Stegostoma tigrinum: one gene and its partner. The protein of the gene in region 2 interacts with the protein of the main gene of each other region in a pairwise test. Links are inferred from orthologs where the notes say so. Each region holds a gene or a part of one and is shown on either strand. Other genes may lie near its edges. The genes, in order: selenbp1 and med31.

What was found.
Region 1: the proteins of med31 (region 2) and selenbp1 interact in a two-hybrid assay, tested with the Homo sapiens proteins (2 studies listed by BioGRID and IntAct). The link is inferred for Stegostoma tigrinum from reciprocal best matches to the Homo sapiens genes MED31 and SELENBP1.

The regions. Positions count from the first base shown.
Region 1 is NC_081400.1:4,883,977-4,892,325, forward strand, and holds the start of selenbp1 (methanethiol oxidase), read left to right. Parts: upstream 1-5,124; 5' UTR 5,125-5,222; intron 5,223-5,257; exon of another isoform or gene 5,258-5,275; intron 5,276-5,331; exon of another isoform or gene 5,332-5,494; intron 5,495-6,453; 5' UTR 6,454-6,513; coding exon 6,514-6,517; intron 6,518-8,349. UniProt on the Homo sapiens protein: Catalyzes the oxidation of methanethiol, an organosulfur compound known to be produced in substantial amounts by gut bacteria. Selenium-binding protein which may be involved in the sensing of reactive xenobiotics in the cytoplasm.
Region 2 is NC_081380.1:46,203,461-46,211,430, reverse strand, and holds the start of med31 (mediator of RNA polymerase II transcription subunit 31), read right to left. Parts: upstream 3,591-7,970; 5' UTR 3,434-3,590; coding exon 3,343-3,433; exon of another isoform or gene 3,205-3,342; intron 2,584-3,204; exon of another isoform or gene 2,492-2,583; coding exon of another isoform or gene 2,452-2,491; intron 1,885-2,451; exon of another isoform or gene 1,855-1,884; coding exon of another isoform or gene 1,809-1,854; intron 1,483-1,808; coding exon 1,408-1,482; intron 918-1,407; coding exon 821-917; intron 1-820. UniProt on the Homo sapiens protein: Component of the Mediator complex, a coactivator involved in the regulated transcription of nearly all RNA polymerase II-dependent genes.

The DNA of each region.
Region 1 (8,349 bases), on a different chromosome or scaffold from region 2:
TGTTCTTTCGAATACGTTGCAAAACAATGATCGTTTATTCTCTGAAGGTCAGTGTGACCCTGTTCCACAATCCTTACAATTCCCCTTCCTTGCTATTGCCTCTCGGCCTTCTGGCAGTTATTTAGTTTGCACTCTTCGGTTATCCTCACCCTCCTGGTGAAGACACACTTCAAAATGCCAATGGTGGCCGTTCAGTCTGTCGACTCTGCTCTCTGAGGGCGCAGCCCACTCTTCGGGGGCTTGTTGTCTACTCGCTGGGCTGAATGGCCTGTTGTCCACACTGCAGGGATTATAAGACCATAAGACACAGGAGCAGAAATTGGGCCATTCGGTCCATCGAGTCTGCTCCGCCATTCAATCATGGCTGATAAGTTCGTCAGCCCCATTCTCCTGCTTCCTCCCCATAACCCTTGATCCCCTCGACAATCAAGAACCTATCTATCCCAGTCTTACCATAATTTGTGCTTTTTTTAAATAAAGGGAGGTTGAGACAGAGGTCCTGATTTGTCTGCTCAGACCCAATAATGTGAGGCCTTGATGATTGTAGGGTTGGAACAATAGAAGCATCCTGAATGGGTGGGGCCAAGCTCCTGTGGATCCAGGATTTTTAACTTGAGCTTTCTGTTCCTGCTTGCAACTGAATGTAGAAGCTTTTATTCCTCTCTCTCTTTCTCTTCGTCACAACAAAATACTTCCTGCTGCTAGAATTGCACATGACAGAATCTGTTCTACTGAATTTGCCTCTGCTAAGGGCGTTACCATGTTGGCACTGTCACTGTTTAGCAGCTAACTAATCGATTAGTTTTCCAATAGTGTTGTTACTCCACTTCCCTCTTTCTTTCATCTGTGTTTTAATTAGCATGGACGAATAAAGTGTGCCCTGGGCTTGAGACGGGCAGATTGCAACGCCTAATGCGTACACTGTGTTCTGCTACAAGACGCATTCCATCGACACACGTTGGCCGTAACGCACTGACCATTTTGGGGTGGGGGGGTTGGTGCTGTTTCTAAAATGACGAACTCGCGGTTAGGTATAACGGAGGTGCCATCGGTTGCCGGGAGTGGGGGTGGGGTCACGTGACCGTTTTGCGGGAAGGAGTCTCCACGCCAGCGTGGCGCGATCATTTCTGTTTGGCGTGAAGCACTTTCTGCGAGAGGTACAGTACTCGGCGACGGCGACGTGGGGAAGGATGGCCACCCTGCGCTCACAACCTCAAAACCCCTCACCCTGACAATTTTTCGAGGTAAGCTGTGCAATTTACCTTTATTTCATCATTAGATGCGAATTAAACTCGTATTCTACTAAGAAAAGTTTAGGATCTAAATTATCTGCTTACATTTTGAGTAAGTTTTGCGCTGGGCCATAATACAAATGAAAGTCTCCCTGAGCGTCCTGCAGCTCCTCACGGTAAAAATGTTCAGTTTCATCTCATAATGTTGGTTCGTGGGTTACATTTATATTCGTAACAAACCTGTACAGGCCGATTTCGTACTTGGTTATTGTGAGATTGGGCCCTTGTTTTAACCTCGTCCGTCCTAAATCGCAGACTTTGTGAAGCCACACTTTCCGTCAGACCAGGGCACTTAAGCTGCAACAGAACGCCAATGCTTCACTGGAGGGGGCACGCTGGCGATGTTACCCAGCAGGGTGGCGAAATATTTACAACCACACCGACCGGCTCGGCGATCAAGGCTACAACCCCCAAACTTCGAACAAGCTGGCTCCAGGCCCTCACTGAGATTCCCTGCGGACGTTTATCCGAACCAGTCCAAATCGAGTTCACAATCCAACACTTTCAAACGACTGTGAATACACAAATTTATGTGAAGACAGAAGCGAGATAGCCAATAAACACCCTCACCTCTGTCTTGGAGCTGTGCAGCACGGAAACGGGTCCTTCAGCCCAGCTCATCTGCACTGACCCAGATATCTTAAACTAATCCAGCCCCATGTGCCAGCAATCGGCCCCAATCCCTCTAAACCCTTCCTATCCATGTTCCCATCCTCCGCTCAGTTCGCAATAAACAACTGCACCTCCCAGTCGCAAACCATTTCCACTCCCCCTCCCATTCTTTAGATGACATGTCCATCATGGGCCTCCTGCACTGCCACAATGATGCCACCCGAAGGTTGCAGGAACAGCAACTCATATTCCGCTTGGGAACCCTGCAGCCTAATGGTATCAATGTGGACTTCACCAGCTTCAAAATCTCCCCTCCCCCCACCGCATCCCAAACCCAGCCCAGCTCTTCCCCTCCCCCCACTGCATCCCAAAACCAGCCCAGCTCTTCCCCTCCACCCACTGCATCCCAAAACCCGCCCAGTTCTTCCCCTCCCCCCACTGCATCCCAAAACCAGCCCAGCTCATCCCCTCCACCCACTGCATCCCAAAACCAGTCCAGCCTGTCTCTGCCTCCCTAACCTGTTCTTCCTCTCACCCAACCCTTCCTCCCACCTCAAGCCGCACCTCCATCTCACACCTACTAACCTCATCCCACCTCCTTGACCTGTCCGTCTTCCCTGGACTGACCTATCCCCTCCCTACCTCCCCACCTATACTCTCCTCTCCACCTATCTTCTTTTCTCTCCATCTTCGGTCCGCCTCCCCCTCTCTCCCTATTTATTCCAGTTCCCTCACCCCATCCCCCTCTCTGATGAAGGGTCTAGGCCCGAAACATCAGCTTTTGTGCTCCTGAGATGCTGCTGGGCCTGCTGTGTTCATCCAGCCCCACACTTTGTTATCTCGGATTCTCCAGCATCTGCAGTTTCCATTATCACATGTCCCCATCCTGATGCCTTTTAAATGCTGTAACTGTACCAGCCCCACCCACTTCCTCTGGCAGCTCCTTCCATACCCGCACCACCCTCTGTGTGAAAAAGTTGCCGCTCAGGTCCCTTTCCCTCTCACCTTAAACCTATGTCCCTCTAGTTTTGGAATCCCCCTACCCCTGGGGGGAAAGACCCCTATCAGTGCCCCTTCTGATGTTATAAACCTCGTTAAGATCACCTCCAACACTGCAAGGAAAACAGCCCCAGGACCTCCCTGTAGCTCAAATCCTCCAACATCGTTGTAAATCTTTTCTGAACCCTTTCACGTTTAGCAACATTTTTCCAACGCCAGGGATTCCAGGCCTGTACATCTCCAGCACCAGCTTCCTGCTCGTATAACTCCCTCCATGAATGATAACAGCACGTGATCCATTTACCTGCTGAACTACCCTGTCCCTGCCAGCCTTCTGGGATCTGTGGCTAAGCTGCCCGCTGTTTCTCTGAGCAGTCTGGTGTCCTGCCAAGCTTTCATAATGCGGTGTCGAGCTATCTAATGGACCCAGTTTCAGAAACAGTCATACACGGGCTTGCTGGCCCAACAGTGGGCGGCTCAGCGGTTAGTACCACTGACTCACAGTGCCAGGGACCCGGGTTCGATCCCAACCTCAGGCCACTGTCTGTGTGGAGTTTGCACATTCTCGCCGTGTCTGCGTGGGTTTCCACCGAGTGCTCCAGTTTCCTCCCACAGTCCACAGATGTGCAGGTTAGGGTGGATTGGCCGTGTTAAATTGTCCCGTAGTGCCCAGGGATGTGCGGGTTAGGGTGGATTGGCCGTGTTAAATTGTCCCATAGTGCCCAGGGATGTGTGGGTTAGGGTGGATTGGCCGTGCTAAATTGTCCCGTAGTGCCCAGGGATGTGCGGGTTAGGGTGGATTGGCCGTGCTAAATTGTCCCGTAGAGCCCAGGTATGTGTGGGTTAGGGTGGATTGGCCATGCTAAATTGTCCCGTAGTGCCCAGGGATGTGCGGGTTAGGGTGGATTGGCCGTGCTAAATTGTCCCGTAGTGCCCAGGGATGTGCAGGTTAGGGTGGGTTGGCCGTGCTAAATTGCCTTCTAGTGCCCAGGGATGTGCGGGTTAGGGTGGGTTGGCCGTGCTAAATTGTCCCGTAGAGCCCAGGTATGTGTGGGTTAGGGTGGATTGGCCGTGCTAAATTGTCCCGTAGTGCCCAGGGATGTGCGGGTTAGGGTGGGTTGGCCGTGCTAAATTGTCCCGTAGTGCCCAAGGATGTGTGGGTTAGGGTGGGTTGGCCGTGCTAAATTGTCCCGTAGTGCCCAGGGATGTGCGGGTTAGGATGGACTGGCCGTGCTAAATTGTCTCATAGTGCCCAGGGATGTGTGGGTTAGGGTGGGTTGGCCGTGCTAAATTGTCCCGTAGTGCCCAGGGATGTGCGGGTTAGGGTGGGTTAGCCGTGCTAAATTGTCTCATAGTGCCCAGGGATGTGTGGGTTAGGGTGGGTTGGCCATGGGAAATGCAGGGTTACAAGGAAAGAGTTGGGGTTATGAGTCTGGGTGGGATAATCTTCAGAGGAGCAATGTGGACTTGATGGGCTGAATGACCTGCTACCACATCATAGGGATTGTATCCAGCGGTTTTGCCTCCAAATTACAGAACATTCTGGAGACTGTTACTCTGATGTTCTGGCATTTGCGGCAAAGTCAGCATCAGGCAACCTTGGTTCTCTCTGATGGCTTGGCAGACACAGCTTGCTCAGAGAAAGAAAAAAGATTCTTGGGAAGTTTCCCTGTTCAATCAGTCTGATAGAGTTCACCCTGAACTCAGCATCACCCCGGGGAAAGGCACTCAACTCTCCAGCCTCAGCAGTAGTTCCACATTGAAGGTTACCATTCAGTCCATCACTTTGGTGCTGGCTCTCCAAGTGCTCAGATTACTTTGGTATCCTCCAATCCCCTCCTCCCCACTGCCGTAATCCCTATGCAAGTTTCCCTGGAAGGCCAGGCCTGCCTCAACATTATCTGACAAAGCTGGACCGTTGTTTGATACAGAATCCGCCTCAGCTCCCTGCTCTTGCATTCTATAGCCTCCTGTCCCCTCCCCTCCCCAGTTAGGAGGACGCAGTATGCTTTATTGGCTGGGCTGCCTCCTGGGTCTGCGCCTCTTCCTGCGCCGCCAATGTTGTCTCCAGGACGGAAACCGTTCCCATTTGAAGGTGGGAAGGGGCCAGGTCCCTGCAAACAACATTGATGTTCGAAATACTGATGACGCAGCTCAACCGTTGGTGGCACGAGCTTCCTGCTGTGTGTTACCCCACCCCAGCCTCACCGGAGCAGGGGGCGTCCCGAGAGTGTAGGGCCGGCCAGCTCGAGCACCCGGGGGTTGTGGGATGGAGGTGTTTCCTGCGGTAACGCTGAGTCTCTGTTCTACTGGCCAACAGTGAGGAGCTGGTCCTTCATGTTGCCTGGAGCCTCAGCAGGGACCTGCAAAGAGTTAAAACTGTTTGCGCTGACTTTAATCGTGTGCAGGGAAACCTTGCGTGCCAAAACGCTGTGTTGCAACGGCTCAGCTTCTCTTGGAGAGTGTACTTTGATCAATCAGACTGTGTGTGCGTGTGAGTGTGTGCGTGTGAGTGTGTGCGTGTGAGTGTGTGCATGCTTATTGACTCGGTCTCTCCCTGTTTGTCTCGACCAGTCTGTCCGTGCTGCCTTGTGAGTTGACATGTTTGCTCTCTGTGTCTCTATCACACTGTCTCTCAGTGTTATTCCATTGCACTGGCTTGTTCTCCCCCTCCAACACTCTCTGTTTTGCTCTGTTCTCACTCTGTTAACCTCTGCATTAGCTCTGTCTTAGTCACTGTATCTCTATCATTCTCTTCCTCTCGCTATCAGGCTATCTCTCTCTCACTCTCTTTCTCGCTCTCTATTTGTATCTCTCTCACTATCAGGTTGTCACTCTCTTTCTCTCTCTATCACACTCACTCTCTATCACTCTTTCTCTCTATCACACTCTCTCTCTATCACTCTCTCCCTCTCTCTACCACTTTCTTTCCCTCTCTGTCACCCTCCTTCTTTCTATCACTCTGTCTCTCTATCACTCACTTTCTCTATCACTCACTCTCTATTCTCTATCACTCTCTCTCTCTGTCTATCACTCTCTCTCTATCACCTACTCACTCTATCACTCACTATTTCTGTCACTCTTTCTCTCTATCACTCTTTATCACATTTTCTCTCTCTATCACTCTCTCTATCACTTTCCCACTCTCTCTCTATCACTGTTTTTCTCTCTATCGCTCACTCTCTCTATTCTCTATCACACTTTCTCTCTCTCTCACTCCCACTCTGTCACTTTCTTTCTCTATTACCCTCTCTATCACTCCCCCTCTCTATCAGTCTCCCTCTCTCTATTACTCGCTCCTTCTATCACTGTCTCTACCACTCTCTCTCTAGCACTCACTTTCTCTCTATCATTCCCTCTCTCTCTCTATCACTCTCTTTCTCTGTCACTCACTCTTTCTATTTCTATCACTCGCTCTATCACACTCTCTCTATCACTCTATCACTTGCTCTTTCTATCACTCTCTCTACCACTCTGTCACTCTCCCCCTTTCCCAGCCCTGCCCCAGCCTCACGCCACTCCCCCTGACACCTCCTTGTTTATTTTGCAGGGGAGCCAACAGGAGTAAGGCCCTGAGCCAACAGGAGTAAGGCCCCGAGCCTGGTGTGACATGGGTAAGTTGCTGTTGGTGGCAGTTCGCACAGAGCGACCATCCCCGTGCGCTTCCAGCTGTCGCCCCTGGCCTGTGCCGTAACTCCTATGGTCAGACCGAGCGTCGCCAGCAAAGGGATAGGCCCAGGTTCAGGTGGGGCAGGGGGGTGCGCGAACGGCCCACCCTGCCAGGTTGTGGGGGCTAGCACTGTGCAGATGGGCCAAATGGCCACTCTGCTTGCACCGTCATGACATGGAACTGGGGGGGGCTTTTGAGGGTCGGGGGTGGGGATTGCTAACATGGAGTTGGATGCGTTATCCTGGGTAGAAAACTCCAGAAGATTCCGGAAAAGAGAGCTTGGCAGAGAGCACCATTGCAAAGGCTTTATCAAAGCCAGAAACCTGTTACTGGGTGGGAGGGCAGGTCTGGGTGATGGCCTTTCTTATCGATCAGCGTCTTCCTTCCGAGATGGAGACACCCTGCGTTGTGTTAGCGCCTGTCCTCAGCTGCTCCTGGAACGTTTCAGGCCCAGTCCTCAGCTAGCTTTCGAAAGGACCGGCCCTGCCCTAATGCGCACAGCAAGCTCCCACAGGCAGCAATCCAGCCATATGCTGCCACCCCACCCCGCCTCACACCCCCACCACCACCACACCAACTCCCTGAGCCTACCTTCACCCAGGCGCCCAATCGCAGCTCAGGGTCGCTCATACACACAGTCAAAGTGGCCACAGTTTAAAGGCTCACTCTAAAAGATGGCAACTTTAACAGCGCCCGCTCCCTCAGCACTGACCCTTCGACAGTGCCCTCTCCCTCAGCGCTGACCTTCCGACAGCTCCCACTCCCTCAGCACTGACCCTCCGACAGCGCCCGCTCCCTCAGCACTGACCCTCCGACAGCGCCCGCTCCCTCAGCGCTGACCCTCCGACAGCGCCCGCTCCCTCAGCGCTGACCCTCCGACAGCGCCCGCTCCCTCAGCGCTGACCCTCCGACAGCGCCCGCTCCCTCAGCACTGACCCTCCGACAGCGCCCGCTCCCTCAGCACTGACCCTCCGACAGCGCCCGCTCCCTCAGCGCTGACCCTCCAACAGCGCCCGCTCCCTCAGCGCTGACCCTCTGATATTACACTACCTGCTGTTTGGTGCCCAGGCTGTTTCCTCACAGATTGGAGTCCATGTTGTGTTCAGTTTTCGGTAAGTGCAGGTTCCAACTGTAACCAAAACGTGTAAATCGGTCACTGTTCAGTTACCCACTTCCTCCACCCTCTCAGCACACACTGCAGGGTTAGGGGTTAGATTTAGGTAAGGGTTGGGGTAGGGTTAGTGTTAGCGATGGTTTAGAGTTTGGGTTAGGGGTTAAATGGGTCAGGGTTAGTATCAGGGTCTGGGTTAGGGTTCAAATTTGGGTTGGGATTAGGAATTGGATTAGGATTAGCATTGGGGTTAAGGTTGGGGTAGGGGTGAGGGTTAGGTTTCGGGTCAGAGTCAGAGTTAGGGTTAAAGGTTAGAATTAGGGTTAGGGTTAAGGCCTAGGGTTGGGGTTAAGGTTAAGGTTAGGGTTCGGGTTAGGTTTAGGATCAGGATTAGGGTCAGGGCCAGGGTTAGGTTCAGAGTTAAGGGTTACGGTCAGGACCAGGGTTAGGTTTAGGGTTAGGATTAGGGTCAGGACCAGGGTTAGGGTCAGGGCCAGGGTTAGGTTTAGGTTAGGATTAGGGTCAGGGCCAGTGTTAGGTTTAGGGTTAGTATTAGATTCAGGGCCAGGGTTAGGTTTAGGGTTAAGGGTTAGGCTTAGAGTTAAGGGTTAGGGTCAGGGCAAGTGTTGGGGTTCGGGGTTAAATGCGATAGGGTGAGAGTTAAG
Region 2 (7,970 bases):
TGTATCTAATCCCGTGCTGTCCCTGCCCTGGGAGGGTTTGATGGGGGACAGTGTAGAGAGAGTTTTACCCTGTATCTAACCCCGTGCTGTCCCTGCCCTGGGGGTGTTTGATGGGGGGAACAGTGTAGAGAGAGCTTTACCCTGTATCTAACCCCGTGCTGTCCCTGCCCTGGGAGGGTTTGATGGGGGACAGTGTAGAGAGCGTTACTCTGTATCTAACCCCGTGCTATCCCTGTCCCTGGGAGTGTTTGATGGGGGACAGTGTAGAGGGAGCGTTACTCTGTATCTAACCCCGTGCTGTCCCTGTCCCTGGGAGTGATTGATGGGGGTGCTGTTCCTCTGAGATTACTCTGACAGACTCGGTTGTATAATGTACCGGAATGCATTTCATCCCAGTGAACAGCAGACGCCTTCAGGCCAGGAATGGAATGTATGGCATTTGGGGCTATCCTGGATACGAATCACAGAATGCCGACAGTGTGGGAACAGGCCCTTCGGCCCAACAAGTCCACACCGCCCTTGCAGCATCCTATCTAGACCCATCCCCCTATAACCCACACACCCCTGAACACTACAGGCAATTTAGCATGGCCGATCCACCTAGCCTGCACATCTTTGGACTGTGGGAGGAAACCGGAGCACCCGGAAGAAACCCACGCAGACACGGGGAGAATGTGCAAACTCCACACAGACAGTCGCCCGAGGGTGGAATTGAACCCTTGTCCCTGGTGCTGTGAGGCTGCAGTGCTAACCACTGAGTGGATATTGATCCCACGACAAAGATTACTGTGAAAAGCTGTCCAGTGGGGTGGATACTTACTTCAGGTACTTGGCATATTCTGGCTCCTTCCAGTACAGGAGATACTTGAAGTAATTGACAAACGTTCGGTCTCTGAAGTACCCTCGTTGTGCCAGAACTACCACATTGAAACAAAAAGAAAATTACGGTATTGTCACCAGCACTAAGGTAATGTTGAAGAGAGAATGATACTGTTAACTGGCGAGTACCATCCCCAGGGCATGGGGAGGTAGCTCCTTGTCATTACAGACATTACTGCATCAAAGTGAGTGGGTCTATTACGCTCTTCAGGTGCATGGCATCTACGCTTCACTGGAGCAGACACTTTGGTGCTCAGTGCCTCCTGCACTTCCCCTTCCCCACCCAGGGCTTCGTTTCAAAGTTACATCAGAAGAGACTCACTTCCCTCTCTATCTATGGGTCCAAGTCTGGTTCAATCACAGACATGCTTCAAGAGGCTGGCGATAACACTGATGTGCTGCCTCATGCAGAAGGGAGAAAGCGTCCTGTCGGTAGCTGTGATGAAGCTCAGTGGTTTCTTACTTTACCATGTCACTGCTGGAAACAGCAACTGGCCAATGGTCCAGGGGAATCCCACTGGCACTTACAGTTCAGATAGTTCGGGTTCGCCAGACACTGCACAAACTCCAGCTCCATCTCAAATCGTAGCTTTGCCTGTTCCTCTGGGGGTAGAGAGAGTGAGAGAGAGAGAGCAGAGGGGGGAAAGGACAAGTTACTCATTACCTTAAGGCATAAATTCAACCAAAGTCATCACAAATAAGATAAAATATAAAGTAAAATGATTTTTGTTTGAGAAGGGGGTTTACGGGTTAAGGTCAGACAGGCAAGTCAAGTTGAAGCCTTAGTCAGATCAGCCAGGGTCTTACTGACAGGCAGAGTAAGCTCGACGGTTCAAGTGACCTCTTCCTGCTGCTACTATCTTTTTTAATTTTGCAATCAAGGAAGTGGCAGCCAATGTACACACGGCACGCTTCGCAGGACAACGTACTATCATTGCAGCATGACTTCAAATCCAAACAATAAACGTAGATCATATCTTCTCCAGGAATTCTTATCTTATTTACCTTCGGATAAAACAAAAAAAAACTCTGTGAATGCTGGAAATCTGAAACAAAAAAAAACTGCTGGGGAACTCAACACTTCAGAACTTCTGAAGAAGGGTGACTATACTGGAAATGTTAACTCTGTTTTCTCTCCACAGATGCTGCCAAGCCTGCTGAGATTCTCCAGCTATATGCTGTAGTTTTTTTTAATTTTGTTTTACGATAGTTTGAATCCATTGTATGACTTAATCACATGGAGATTGATGACCTTGAATATGCAAGGCCCAGTTCAATGCTTGGTGCAATGTTAAAATATACCACCAGACCAGGAAGCTCAGCCTCGGTATGAGCTCAGGGAGGGACCTCAAGTGAATCACAAAGGCCCCAGCTAGAGTCAAGGATACATATTAAGCTGCAGTCATACTCTTGCAATTCCTAGTGGTGTGAGAGGGCACATGCACGTGGGAAGGAACAAATGTATCAGATAAACACTAGGTCAAACTCAGGTGTGATGCGAGTGTCCATACATTGATGCCTAAACTCCTACATAAAAGCCCCTCTATTTTACAGTACTTTGGATGTACCTACCCCAAAGGAACTGGAGTGGCCCAAGAAGGCAGCTCACCATAAGCTTCACCACAGCATCTAGGAGGCAGGCATTAAATGCTCACCAACCAGCAAGGTCCACATCCCATGAATAAATTTTTTTTAGGAGCTTAGCTGGAGGAACAAAGGTATTGTTTAATCAGTAGGGGCCAATGACCAAGTTTGGTGAAATAAACAAAGCCTGTATTCTGTGGAATGCAGCATGTTAAAGATGTGATTTTGATGGAGTATTTTGAAACAAGTTGATAAGGAAAAACATCTGGATGTGAGTTTGCTCGCTGAGCTGGAAGGTTAGTTTGGTGACGAGACGTCTGAAAACTAGGTAACATCGTCAATGAGCCCCCGGTGAAGATCCAGAAACTCAACCTGAGTTACAAATCTTCTCAAAACTCGCTAGGAAAAACATTTCAATGTTTGGAGTTGAGTTCAGGTTTACTGGGCATTATCTTAAATTCAGAACCAGGTTAGTCAGCAGAGGAGGCATGTGTGGATCTCTACCCTACAAAAAAGGGAGTTGATTCGAGGGCCCAATCAACCGTTTTGTATCTGAGATCACTAGAGTGCTACAACAGAGGAGCACTACGTGTAATGGAGATAGAGTACAGAACAGCCACTGTCTCAGTTAGTGCCAAAACAGGCTCTTAGCATCGTAGTAAAGGCCATTCGGCCCATAGAAACTGTACTACCAACCACTCAAGGGGCTGATTTGCCTCTTTCCGTTACTGTTATCTTTACCCAGAGTCAGCAGCAAACGTCCCTCTCTCCCAGTTTCAAGAGTGAACGAGAAGGCCCTTACTTCCGCCCCGCCCAATCATGGAGCCAGATATTTCCGCCCCGCTCGCTATCACGTGGCCGCTAACTTCCGCTCCTTACCTGTCTCCATGGTGGCTGGTGCAGCCGCCATTGTTTGTTTCTTCTCTCCGCCTCCCGCTCGAAGAGATTCGGTGTAAACAGCAGCCTCCATTAAGCAGGTCTGACCCTTCTCTTAATCGGTACTAGTCACAGCACCTACCTTCTCGTCAGTTCAAACTACCAGAATGAATAGAACTAACGAGCTGCTCGCAAGCGGGTCACTTCTCCCGATAGCAGCTGCCAACTGAAGTAATTCCACTCCGACTTACAGTGGGAGTCAGTGCTGCCCCCTGGGCTGGAGGATAATCAGGAGGAGGTGGTGCTGCCCTCTTGGCTGGAGGACCATCAGGAGGAGGTGGTGCTGCCCCCTAGGCTGGAGGATAATCAGGAGGAGATGGTGCTGCCCTCTGGGCTGGAGGACCATCAGGAGGAGGTGGTGCTGCCCCCTAGGCTGGAGGATAATCAGGAGGAGGTGGTGCTGCCCTCTGGGCTGGAGGATAATCAGGAGGATATGATGCTGCCCCCTGGGCTGGAGGATAATTAGGAGGAGGTGGTGCTGCCCCCTAGGCTGGAGGACCCTCAGGAGGAGGTGGTGCTGCCCCCTAGGCTGGAGGATAATTAGGAGGAGGTGGTGCTGCCCCCTGGGCTGGAGGATCATCAGGAGGAGGTGGCGCTGCCCCCTGGGCTGGAGGATCATCAGGAGGAGGTGGTGCTGCCCCCTAGGCTGGAGGATAATTAGGAGGAGGTGGTGCTGCCCCCTAGGCTGGAGGATAATTAGGAGGAGGTGGTGCTGCCCCCTGGGCTGGAGGATCATCAGGAGGAGGTGGTGCTGTCCCCTGGGCTGGAGGACCCTCAGGAGGAGGTGGTGCTGCCCCCTGGGCTGAAGCATTGCCCCTGGGAAAGAGGGGAAGGTGGGGCAGTTATGTCTATCAGAGGGACCCTGATGCAGAAGGAGTCTGGGCTTGGGATGACTGTGTTACTGCGCTGAACATGTTGAGAGAATGTGGTGAATGCAGGCTCAGGGTTTCCTGTACAGGATGCATGTTTCTGGGAAGGGTTAGAGAACAGAGGGATCTGGGGAAATGACAGGGAAGTGGAGTTAAGGATAGGCCATCATCACATTGACTAGCTGAGCTGACAGGGGCAGTGTGGTAGTTCAGTGATTAGCGCTGCTGCCTCGTGGCGCCTGTGACCTGGGTTCGATTCCAGCCTTGGGTGACTGCCTGTGTGGAGTTTTCACATTCTCCCCATGTCTGAATGGGTTTCCTCTTTCCATATCTTAGGTGGATTGTCCATGCTAAGTTGCCCCTTGTGCCCAGGGATGTGTAGGTTAGATGGGTTAGCCGTGGGAAATGCAGGGTTACACGGATAGGGTAGGGGTTTGGGTATGAGTGGGATACTATTTAGATGGTCATTGTAGGTTTGTTAGGCCAAATGGCCTGTTTCCACACTCTAGGGATTCTATAACAGACTTGATGGGTCAAATGGCCTCTTTCTGCTCCTACACCCTTATGGTCAGAGATAGGATGGGGGTAATTCCAAATACTGTTGTGTTTGTGGTATTCTAAAGCAGAGTCTGGGTGTCAAACATTTACCTCCTATAGTGACTGGAACCAGGTGGATCTCATTGACTATGAGGTCCTTGGTTGGGGTTGTTAACCTGGGCCAATTAGGAAGCCCTGGCTCAACAACATAAACAGGGGATTTAGAGGAGCTGGCTGACCACAGCCTGTGCACAGTGCACATGTAAATAAATGTGATGGGATACCAGCTTCCGTGCAGTTTGTTCACCACCGTCCCCCCCCACCCCCAACCTCTCCCTCTCCCTCTCCCTCTCCCTCTCCCTCTCCCTCTCCCTCTGTGGATGTTGTCAGGCATGTTGAATGTTTCCTGCATTTTTTCACCTTCCACCTCTGGAATCTCCGGCCTTCCCATATCTTAAATGCCAATCCTTTGGACTACATTAAGGTTTTGTCATCATCTCTCGCTCCACCTTTGTGTTTTCAATTAGGCCCTGGGACATTTTCTAGCATTGAAGGTGATTCTTTCGGTACAATTTGTGGGAAATGTTTTGTGGCCTGTCTAGTTTTGAGGTGTTAATATTTTTGTTGTGACTCAAGACAACATTCTCATGTCAAGGGAGCTGATCACTGACATTCACCACGCAATGACCCAGTTGGCTGGTTTAAAAGCCCAGGACACACTGGGTTCAGCTTGGAATGAATCTGCTGAGACACACCTACCGAGTGTGAGCAGCACAGCGGAGTTTATTTGGATCATACCTGATGCTTGAACAAATAAGATTAAGGCTCAGTGTTTCTGAGGGGGTGCCAGACTAATATAGGGACAGGCTGGTTGAGAAGGCATTTAGCACGCTTGCCTTTTTTTTCTCAGACCTTTGAGTATCGGAGTTGGGACGTCATGTTAAGCTTGTACAGGGTGTTGGTGAGGCCACTTCTGGAGTACTGTGGTCGCCCTGCTTTAGAAAGGATATTATCAAACTGGAGAGGGTTCAGAAAAGATTTGCCAGGATGTTACTGGGAATGAAGGATTTGAGTTATAAGGTGAGGCTGGATAGGATGGGGCTTTTTTCCCTGGAGTGTAGGAGGTTGAGGGGGTGACCTTGTAGAAGTTTGTAAAATCATGAGGCATGGATTGGTTGAGTAGCCGAGATCTTTTCCCCGGCGTTGGGAGTTCAAAACGAGAGGGAATATTTTTAAGGTGAGAGGAGAAGGATTTAAAACAGACCTGAGGCACAGATGTTTCACACAGAGGGTGGTGCATGTGTGGGATGAACAGCCTGAGGAAGTTGTTGATGTGGATGTAGCTACAACATTTGGACAGGTACATCAATAGGAAAGGTTTCGAGGGATATGGGCCAAACCGAGGCAAGTGGGACTGGTTTAGTTTAGGAAAGCTGGTTCAAAGGGGCCATTTCTGTGCTGCACAACTCTGTGACTAGTGTCCTCACAATGGGCTGAAGGGCCTTTCTCGGGACTGTTGTGTACAAATGAGGCCATTCGATCCCTCATATCTGCTCTGCTAGGCAATAAGGTTGTGTCCTCTGCATTTTCCTGTCTGCCCCCAGTGATGGCTACACTCGCCAACAATCTATCTACCTGTCCACCTGGCCTAGAGGGAATGTCACTCCAGCAGGAGGCCCCCTACTTTCTGACTCTTTCTCTGTCGTCTAAATGTAGTGTTTGCCATCTCCTTCAGCCCAGTGTTTCAATTTCCCGGTCGTTGCTGAACTCAGCCTGCCCCATGCTCAGGTGGAGGCCATTGAGCCTGGCCTGTGTATACTAGCTACCCAAATGATCACCTGGTACCACTCTCATGCACCTCACATGTGCAGAAGTATTAAGCTTCAAGAGGAAGCCATTTGGCCCATCATGTCTGCTCTGCCTCTTCAAAGGAACAATCATCATCTGCCTTGATTGAACCTGCCTACTCCACTCACTGAGGCGATGCATTTGTAGAATTCCCCGATGGTATGGGAGCAGGCCCTTCACCCAGCAAGTCCACAGTAACCCTCTGAAGAACCAGGCCCATCCTCTATTCTGTCCCTGCATTTAGCATGGCCAATCCACCCTAGCCTGCACACCTTCGGACTGTGGGAGGAAACCGGAGCACCCGGGGGAACCCCACGCAGACACAGGGAGAATGTGCAAACTCCGTACAATCGCCCGAGGCCGGAATCAAAACCGGGTCCCTGGTGCTGTTTGGCTGCAGTGCTAACCACTGAGCCACCGTGCCGTGCCATTCACTGTATGAAAACATTTCTTCTTGCGTTACTCCTGTTCTTTTACTGATTACTTTGAGCATTGTCCCCTGCGATTAAATATGATTCAGAGTCTTGTCATGCAGTTAGCTGTAACTGCTTGCAGTGTGCTGTTTAATGTGTATTTATGTTTTGAGCCTGCAATTTGGAGAGAAATTACCCTGTGTTTTAACTTAATGTGCTTTGTGAGCGTGTACCTCACTGTCCTATTTGACCCTGAGCTGAACCTCTGACTCCATGCCTGTCTGCGTTGCTGACTTTTTCTGCTGTAAACATGCCCCTTGAGTTTGCCCCATCTGCTGCTGATCCCCTCACTCCTGTCTTTCTCATCCGTAACCTTCCCTGTTCTATGAACTCTCCTCACTTCATCTGATACTTAGCTGCCAACACCTAACTCTTACTGAGTCCCATACTTCCTGTACTCGCTGTCCTACATTCACTCCCAGTTAAATAAATTCTAAAAATTCTCGTCCTTGTTTTCAAATCTTTCAGGTGAGTGAGTCCCTGTCTTTCTGCACACCCTTGGAGTGCTGTTCTTGTACAGATTTTATTCGTCCCAGCACTAGTGGCTTTCAGCAGCAGAGAGGGTCCCAAGCTCCATATCACCCCTGCCCAAACCATTTCAGCCTTCGATCCTCTAAGATTTGGGGCGGTACGGTGGCTCAGTGGTTAGCACTGCTGCCTCACAGGGCCAGGGACCCGTTTTCAAATCCACCCTCGGGCGACTGTCTGTGTGGAGTTTGCACATTCTCCCCATGTGTGTGTGCGGGTTTCCTCCCACAATCCAAAGATGTGCAGGCTAGGTGGATCGGCCATGCTAAATTGCCTGTAGTGTTCAGGGGTGTGTGGGTTATAGGGGGATAGGTCT